2 linked regions of the Xenopus tropicalis genome follow. The protein of the gene in region 1 interacts with the protein of each later gene in a biochemical or structural test. Links are inferred from orthologs where the notes say so. Each region holds a gene or a part of one and is shown on either strand. Other genes may lie near its edges.

Region 1 (4,221 bases):
CCCCTCACCTGGTAGCCAGACATAGACTACTTGTACTTTTATTTAAGAGTTAAATATAAAATTAAAGGGCCAGTATCCCCAGGAAATAGAAATAGTTACATAGTTACAATGACCCAAAAAGAAAATAAACATACAGTTCATGTAGTCTGAAGGCTGATCTGATGGCTTCTTCCCCAGGGTCAGTGATCAGAAATGACTGCAGTGATTGGGAAACAACTTAGGGGAGAATTCTTGAGGGCACTGAGCACACCACAATCGCCTTTTTAGACAGGATGGGGGGTTGGGCTTTGTTTAGTCAACAAAAAGATGCCAAACACAGCACTGCTGGTAGCAAATAAACTGCCATGAAAACACATTTTAGGAGTTTGCCTGGTTGCAAGGGTACACTGGAGCTTAGCAACCGGAGAGCTGCTGGATTAACAAAAGTGGAGAGCTCCTGAACAAAGAGCTAAAGTACCAAAAGGAATATCACTATCACTTTAATGTAAAGGGGAACTAGCCCTGTAACAGTAATGTTGGATATTGCTTGCAGGAGGGGTCAGGTAAGTGTATGTGTGTATGGGGAGTTAAGGCAATGCCTGGCTGACAATCTGTTTACATTGGGTCCAAAGTTTATTGCTTAGAATTTGGGCAATTCAGGTTGGGACAGTACAAGGCTGGGCATAGGGGGAATTAGAGAAAGGAGCTGAGCCAGGGGAAAGATGGGGGCCACATATTGTTATCTCCCCCACCCAAACATATACAAAATCGCACCGACTCTGATTGAATATCTTAGCTACAGTTGGGCAATGGGAACATTGGCACTCACACTGCATAGGTGCCTTGGTCTGACCACTCATTCAACCCAAACATCTCTGCCCCCTTTGCAGACTGAATATCCCATGGTGCAGTCAGAACCCTGACCCTGCCAGCAATTGTGTGGGGGCAGTTAGGGGCAAAGTCCCCCAGTTGTAGTAGTACTTACAGCCAAGCAATACAAAGGCATTCAATAATAAACAAAAAATCAAAGAGCCGTCCCATTAATACAGAGCGCTCCTACTAATTCATGAAGGAATGCAACAAAAATGAAAATACTACCGGTTAATTATTTAGTGCAACCTAACCGGAGATCACGTGATCCAGCAGACCACGTGTTCCAGCCCTCATACCCCCGTCTCTATAGGAGACGTCCAACCATCTTACGACTAGTAGGAGGCCCCTGCGTGGTGCACGGTCATTGGTCATCGCCCGGACCAATCAAAAGCAGCCATCTGTGTTCCCTGAATGGCAGTGCGGCCGGCCCAACCAGAAACGGACACCGGTGCGGCCGCAGCCAATGGAGTGACAGGCGGAGGGAGGGAGCGGCGTAGCTATATATAAGCGGCTGTCGCTGGTTGCGAGGTGCTTAGTGGTTCCTGGACGCTGTGCTTGACAGGTCTTTTGAAGGGGCATCACCATGGCCCGCGTTGCCTTCCTCATCCTGCCGCTGCTTGCGGCTCTGTGCATCGCAGATCCTGCTGTTTACTTAAAGGAAGAGTTCGCTGATGGAGGTATGGAACGACTTCATGGCATTAGAGCTTGAAGGCAGGGACAGTAAAATACGGCTGGGTTTAACTGCAGCTCCCGGCATGCTCAGCTAGAGAGAACGCATTCTTTTGCCTTTCCCTTAATACAAGTGCCCATTGATGCACGGATAGATAGCACTGAGGGGCTGGGTATGTGACTGAGGCGCTGTAGCTCCTATGTAGTGATAATGCCTGCCCCCTGTTATACAAATACAGCCCCCCTCATTGGCCAGTAATGCCTTTACATTGGCTCAGGCCACCTTGCTGTCCCACTCTTCCTCATGTATTATGTAGCTGCACTACAACTCCCAGAAGCCTCTCCTGGCCAGTAATGCCTTTACATTGGCTCAGGCCAGATGGCTGTCCCATTCTTGCTCATGTATTATGTAGCTGCACTACAACTCCCAGAAGCCTCTCCTGGCCAGTAATGCCTTTACATTGGCTCAGGCCAGATGGCTGTCCCATTCTTGCTCATGTATTATGTAGCTGCACTACAACTCCCAGAAGCCTCTCCTGGCTAGTAATGCCTTTACATTGGCTCAGGCCAGATGGCTGTCCCATTCTTGCTCATGTATTATGTAGCTGCACTACAACTCCCAGAAGCCTCTCCTGGCCAGTAATGCCTTTAGATTGACTCAGGCCAGCTGGCTGTCCCACACTTGCTCATGTATTATGTAGCTGCACTACAACTCCCAGAAGCCTCTCCTGGCCAGTAATGCCTTTACATTGGCTCAGGCCAGCTGGCTGTCCCATTCTTGCTCACGTATTATGTAGCTGCACTACAGCTCCCAGAAGCCTCTCCTGGCCAGGGGCTTTAGCTACTAAAGGGTGTAACAGATCCCTATATAGTGTTGGCAGTGGAACTGCTGCTATTCAGACTTCACCATGATCCAGATAATATAAATATATATATATATATATATTTATTTTGTTATTATTATTGCTATATTATGTGCATTAAGCTGGATTACATAGTTATACATGGGCTGGGCACCTTTTTGGCTTTAGGTAGGGCTAGTAGGGGGGATGCTGGGAAGTGTAGTTCAATAGAGGGGATGCTGGGAAGTGTAGTTCAGTAGGGGGGGATGCTGGGAAGTGTAGTTCAGTAGGGGGGGATGCTGGGAAGTGTAGTTCAGTAGGGGGGATGCTGGGAAGTGTAGTTCAGTAGGGGGGGATGCTGGGAAGTGTAGTTCAGTAGGGGGGGATGCTGGGAAGTGTAGTTCAGTAGGGGGGGATGCTGGGAAGTGTAGTTCAGTAGGGGGGGATGCTGGGAAGTGTAGTTCAGTAGGGGGGGATGCTGGGAAGTGTAGTTCAGTAGGGGGGGATGCTGGGAAGTGTAGTTCAGTAGGGGGGATGCTGGGAAGTGTAGTTCAGTAGGGGGGGATGCTGGGAAGTGTAGTTCAGTAGGGGGGATGCTGGGAAGTGTAGTTCAGTAGGGGGGGATGCTGGGAAGTGTAGTTCAGTAGGGGGGGATGCTGGGAAGTGTAGTTCAGTAGGGGGGGGGGATGCTGGGAAGTGTAGTTCAGTAGGGGGGGGGGGATGCTGCATGTTGCAGATCCTCCTCATTGAATAAATCCCAATTGTGTTCTGTTTGTAACCTTGGCTGTGTCCCCTGCAAACAAATCTAGTGGATCCCCTGCCATCTGTACAAATATTTGTGGGGCAGAACAGCTGGCCGAGGGGGCGTGGCCCTGCGCTGACACCCGGGTCTGAGTTGTGGGTGTGGGTGCTTTGTGTAATGCAGTAAGGCTCATACAAGCTGGGCCCGTCACGTCGGCCTTCCCATACATGGAAGCTGCCGGAACATGGTGGTGTATAGTATTCTGCCCCAATCCTTCCCATGTATTTGCATCATTAAAGCCGGCCCTGCAGCCCAGAGAGTGCCTGCTGAACCTTCTGGAAGCAGCGGGGAGGCGGAGCTGGGGTTAATGGCCGGCTCTAGCCCCTCCTACCATCTATACATAAGGAAAGGGAAAGTGGAGGGGGGAGGTGATGGGGAATGCTGCAGTATAAGGGATCCTTACCTGAGCCTGGTTAGAATGATAGTATTGTGTGTATTTATTGCTTGTAATGCTCCGGTGCCTGCTGTGGGGGGGGATAGAGTGGCCATTGTGTCTGGGACTATGTGACTAGGCATCGGCTTGCATTACAGCTGCACAAGATGTGGGAGATGCCATGTTTGCTAGGCAGAGATCCATTCCCCCACCTATGGGGAGTGCCCCTGCTGAATATGGTAGCACCCAATTGTAACTGGGGTTATGGGAATATTTATTGTATGTAATTGTAGCTTCTAGTTTCTGTTCTAGTTTGATCTGCCCCGTGCCTAGGTATGTAGGGTGCCCCCCCGTGCCTAGGTATGTAGGGTGCCCCCAATGTATGTATATAGGGTGCCCCTGCATTAGCAGAGTAGGGTGTCTCTCTGCCCACTGAGGATGGGGTTTTCCCATTGCCCATATAGTGAATGCATTAGCAGTGCATGGGCTGCCGCCGGTTGTGCCTCTCTATGCGTCTATGGAAAGAGGGCATGGTACTAACTGGCACAGATAGTTGGGCATCCTTCTGCTCGGGTATGTAGGGTGGCACATTGAAGTAGCCCAGTAAGCCATTCTAAGAATCAACTTTAACCTGTCGTGTTCTTCTCTATCAGATGGGTGGTCGCAGCGCTGGGTAGAATCCA
Region 2 (4,257 bases), on another chromosome or scaffold:
AGTCTTGCTGCCTAGTTATGGATAAAACCATGCTGGCACAAACTCATAGTATTTTGATTTGCAATGCAGTCAAGTACCCTATCCCTTATTACGCCCCTCCAAAAGACTTTCTACTGCTGATGTCAGACTAACAGGCCTTTATTTTTACAGCAATATTTTAAAAAAAAATAATTTTGCATTCCTTTAACTCCTTGCTGCAATTTTTTTTATATCTTTGTAACCTTAAGCCCTGCTGAAATCTCTATCCAAAGGGATTGACCACCCTCCCTATTGCTGTCCCTGGTAATTTCTTTAGCACTTGGCTTTAATTATGGCTTTACACTGTCCTCCGCCACCCTTTTCAATATCGTTGTACCTCCTAAAAAGGGTGTAGTCATGTAAATTCACAGCCCAATCACATTTTTCATCAGGTTTCAGTGATACCAGTCATAACATAATTTTCAGTATATGCAATATACTTCAGCTCTCATAATTTCCCTGACAAGCTCCGTGCATTGCCAGCATGCAGCAGAGGTTACTACTTTTCCCCTTAGTTAGATCTAAGGTTACTATTAGGTTGTTTTCTTTGTAACAGAGGAATCTCTCTAGCTGGTATACTGTATGCCTCCCTCACTCCTTCCCCAAGCCCCCCAGGTCTATACTAGCTTCCCCATAATCCTCTAGCTCACGCCCCCCCTTGCCTAGCTTAAACACTCCAGCCTCTTAGCCATTCTTTCCCCTACCACGGAGGACCCCCTTCCATTGAGGTGCAATGTGTCATGGCTATGTAGTTTGTACCGACTACTACTACCCACTACGTTTTGTAAAGGTTTTTACTCTGTACACAAAACTAACTGCAAATCTTGTAAAAATCACAAGTGTTATTAATTGAATGAACAGACAACATGACAATGAATATCTAATATCTTCAAAAATAAATGATACCATGAATTAATATGGGTTCCAGAGAATTTGAAAAATAAAAGTGTATTACAATATTCTTTGCCCATTTTCTGGAGCACGGAGACCTGTGGCTGCCCTCATGAAGGGGAAGGTGGGGGAGAGATATGTAGGTCTCCCCCTCTTTTCCTTACCCATCCTCTAACTTGTACATGATTCAGATGCAAAAGCTAGGGCATGGCAGAGGAATGCAGGCTGCAATAGAGTCCTGTCCTTGCCATCTTTCCTATGGAAGGTATAGGGCCCTGTTAAGTGCAGTGTTTTTATCGTGTTTAACACACATATGACCATTGTCCACATATAAAGAAGAGGTGTCTAGTTAGATATGCTGAAGATGTACTAAAATGCATATTAAAATAGCTACAGTGTAACCATTAGTCTGTGTGTAACCTTATTGTGTGGTATATAATATGTAACATTAAAACAAGGCAGTGTAGAGAAAAAGAAAGAAAGCATGGCCAGATGGCCAAAGTTCAGTTGCATAACTGAGTTTGTTTTTGTAAGTACAAATATACACTTGTAAAATGAGCATTTGGTTCTATTAGCAAATGTTTAATTAAGACTGCTGGCTCAAGAAAAAGAGGTGTCTATAACCTAAAATACTAAGCATTAGCCCAGATGTAAGAAATATACTACTATGGCTCTCCAACCAAACCTTGCCAAGGACGCATAAATAAGCAATATCATCCCTTTGGAGTTTTTCTATAATGTTAAATAACATTATTGTTTTCTCCTATCATTACAATTTTACTGTACATTTACTGTACATTTAAACAGAAAGCAAAACTACATGTTGAAACGTACCTAAACACCTGCAGACGTATGCTCGGGATTTACTTAATATTCAGAAAAACTTTCTCCGTGTTACTGGAATGTTTTTTTTCCTTCCTATGCCTATTTTGGTAAGTACAATACTTGGCGTGCCATATATCGTCACGTGTATTTAACCATATAAATAATGATAGGAATTAATTTATCTGTTGTCATTTTTTACTGTACAAATATTCTTTTTTTTAGTGTTTTCGTTTTTTAGTTGTTATTTGTTGTATTTATTTAATTTATTATTTTAGCTTATTCAATGTAAAAGCTTTGATTTATAATAAAACCATTTCCTGCAACTTCCATTAATTGGACCATATTAAAATTAGTATAGAAAATATATTTTTTTGATGTAAATTCTATAGCAATTTAAAGTTTAAAGCATGGTTACTATTCCAGCTATAAGGGAATTACTTACTATAGAGTATTATCTATCTTTGATCTTTGCAGTATAAGTATTACCTGTGAAAAAATGAATCTATTTTTAACTTAACTAAATACATACATAAAGATATATATGCACTGTTACTCAGAATTGGACCTGTTATCCAAAATGCTCTGGACCTCGGGTTTTTCAGATAAGGGGTCTTTCTGTAATTTGGATCATTACATTTTGTCTGCTAAAAATCATTAAAGCATTAAATAAACTTAGTAGGATTGTTTTGCCTCCAATAAGAATTCATTATACAGGTATAGGACCTGTTATCCAGAATGCTCAGAACCTGAGCTTTTCTAGAAAAGGGATCTATCTTTAATTCGGATCACAATACTTTGTCTAATAAGAAATAATTTAACACAACATTGAATAAACAGTACAAGGTACTGTTTTATTATTACAAAGAAAAGTGAAATCAAAAATATTCATTATTCAGTTAAAATGAAGTCTATGAGAGATGGCCTTCCCATATTTTGGAGCTTTCTGGATAATGCTTTTCCGGATAACAGATCCCATACCTGTATCTTAGTTAGGAACAAGTCAGGGACAAGCAAAAGCTACTGTTTTAATATTAAAAAGAAAAATGAAATTTGTTGATTTTGAATTAGGTGATTTAAATGGAGTCTTTGGGAGATGACTTTTCTGTAATTCAGAGCTTTCTGGATAATGCGTTTCATCATAAGTGCCTTAAATGTTTAAAAAACTTAAATAAAATATGAATAGGTATTCTATTACAGTTCTCTGCTATTTTATCTCAATCTACCTATCCCTAGTGATAGATAATGAGCGAATCTGTCCCGTTACACTTTGCAGTAAAATTCGCAAAACTGTGAAAAAATTTGTGAAATGTAATTCTTTGTCATAATGTGGCTTTCGTCAATGGCGAAATGCAAAAATTTGCCGGGAATCCATGCCTGCCGAAAAATTTTGCTTATCCCTATCTATCACTCTTTCTAATGATTTTCTAAATTATCTGAAGAATGCTTACAACAAAACTAACAGAAAAGGGAAGGGAAGGTTACAAAGGCATATAGTTAATATTTTATAGAATATATCGATTAGCTTGATGGGTTGCTGGGGTTAGCTTGGGTTGCAAAAATGTACCTTGGTACATTCAAACTTCTACTTACGCAAAATAAACTGCTGTTTTTCCCCATCCCACACATTGTTTCCCCCCTTTTCCTTCACATTGTTTAGTTATGTTTAAAATGAGGAAAGATAGCATGTTTCAGGTACAAAGGAAAAGTAAATGACTACATTTGCTAAAATGTAAAAAGACAGAACATACAGTATATCTGTTGGTGCGATCTCCATGCAAGACAGCTAACAGAAAACTTAGCAAAATTAGAAAAAGCAAATTATAAATTCAAATAAAAGTCCTGTCTGAACAACATACATTATAAATAAAACCTCTTTTTTTTGCTTTAGGTAAGGTTGAATATGATAAAAGTGCTGAGTTTATTGATGCTTTGCGTGTGCCTAAAAGCAGATAATGGCAAATGTGAAGAAATGACCAGTACTTGTGCAGTCGTTACATGTGGCGCACACAGCTCAACTGGATTGCCTGGAAGGGATGGAAGAGATGGCAAAGAAGGCCCAAAAGGAGAAAAGGGAGATAAAGGTAATGGGTAAAAACCTTTAAAGGATAAATACCAGTAGGCTATACACTAAACTATATTGCATTACCGTTCATGATGTGTAGTTGATAAGTATTTTTTTTAACTATACACTGATGTGTTGGGGTTAAGGAGAGAATACATGGATAGAAACTATATTTAGAAATGGAATTTCTTATCCAGAAATCCAATATCCAAATTGTTCTTAATGCCATTTCCCATGCAGTCTGTTTTAAGCAAATACTTATTTTTTTTCTCTGTAATGATAAAACAGTACCTTATTACCTTATACTTGAGGGGAACTAAGCTGCATAAATCCATATCGGTGGCAAAACAATCTAACTAGGTTTATTTAATGTTTAAATGTTTTTTATTAGGCATGATGATTCCAATTACTGAAAAAACTCTCTGCATAATAGATCTCATACCTGTATATATTCTACCTGG

Evidence for each region.
Region 2: the proteins of calr (region 1) and mbl2 form a complex in vitro, tested with the Homo sapiens proteins (2 studies listed by BioGRID and IntAct). The link is inferred for Xenopus tropicalis from reciprocal best matches to the Homo sapiens genes CALR and MBL2.

What each region holds. Positions count from the first base shown.
Region 1 is NC_030679.2:139,718,452-139,722,672, reverse strand, and holds the start of calr (calreticulin precursor), read left to right. Parts: upstream 1-1,401; 5' UTR 1,402-1,435; coding exon 1,436-1,529; intron 1,530-4,191; coding exon 4,192-4,221. UniProt on the Homo sapiens protein: Calcium-binding chaperone that promotes folding, oligomeric assembly and quality control in the endoplasmic reticulum (ER) via the calreticulin/calnexin cycle.
Region 2 is NC_030683.2:50,573,743-50,577,999, forward strand, and holds the start of mbl2 (pulmonary surfactant-associated protein D), read left to right. Parts: upstream 1-1,429; 5' UTR 1,430-1,811; coding exon 1,812-1,841; intron 1,842-3,622; coding exon 3,623-3,815; intron 3,816-4,257. UniProt on the Homo sapiens protein: Calcium-dependent lectin involved in innate immune defense. Binds mannose, fucose and N-acetylglucosamine on different microorganisms and activates the lectin complement pathway.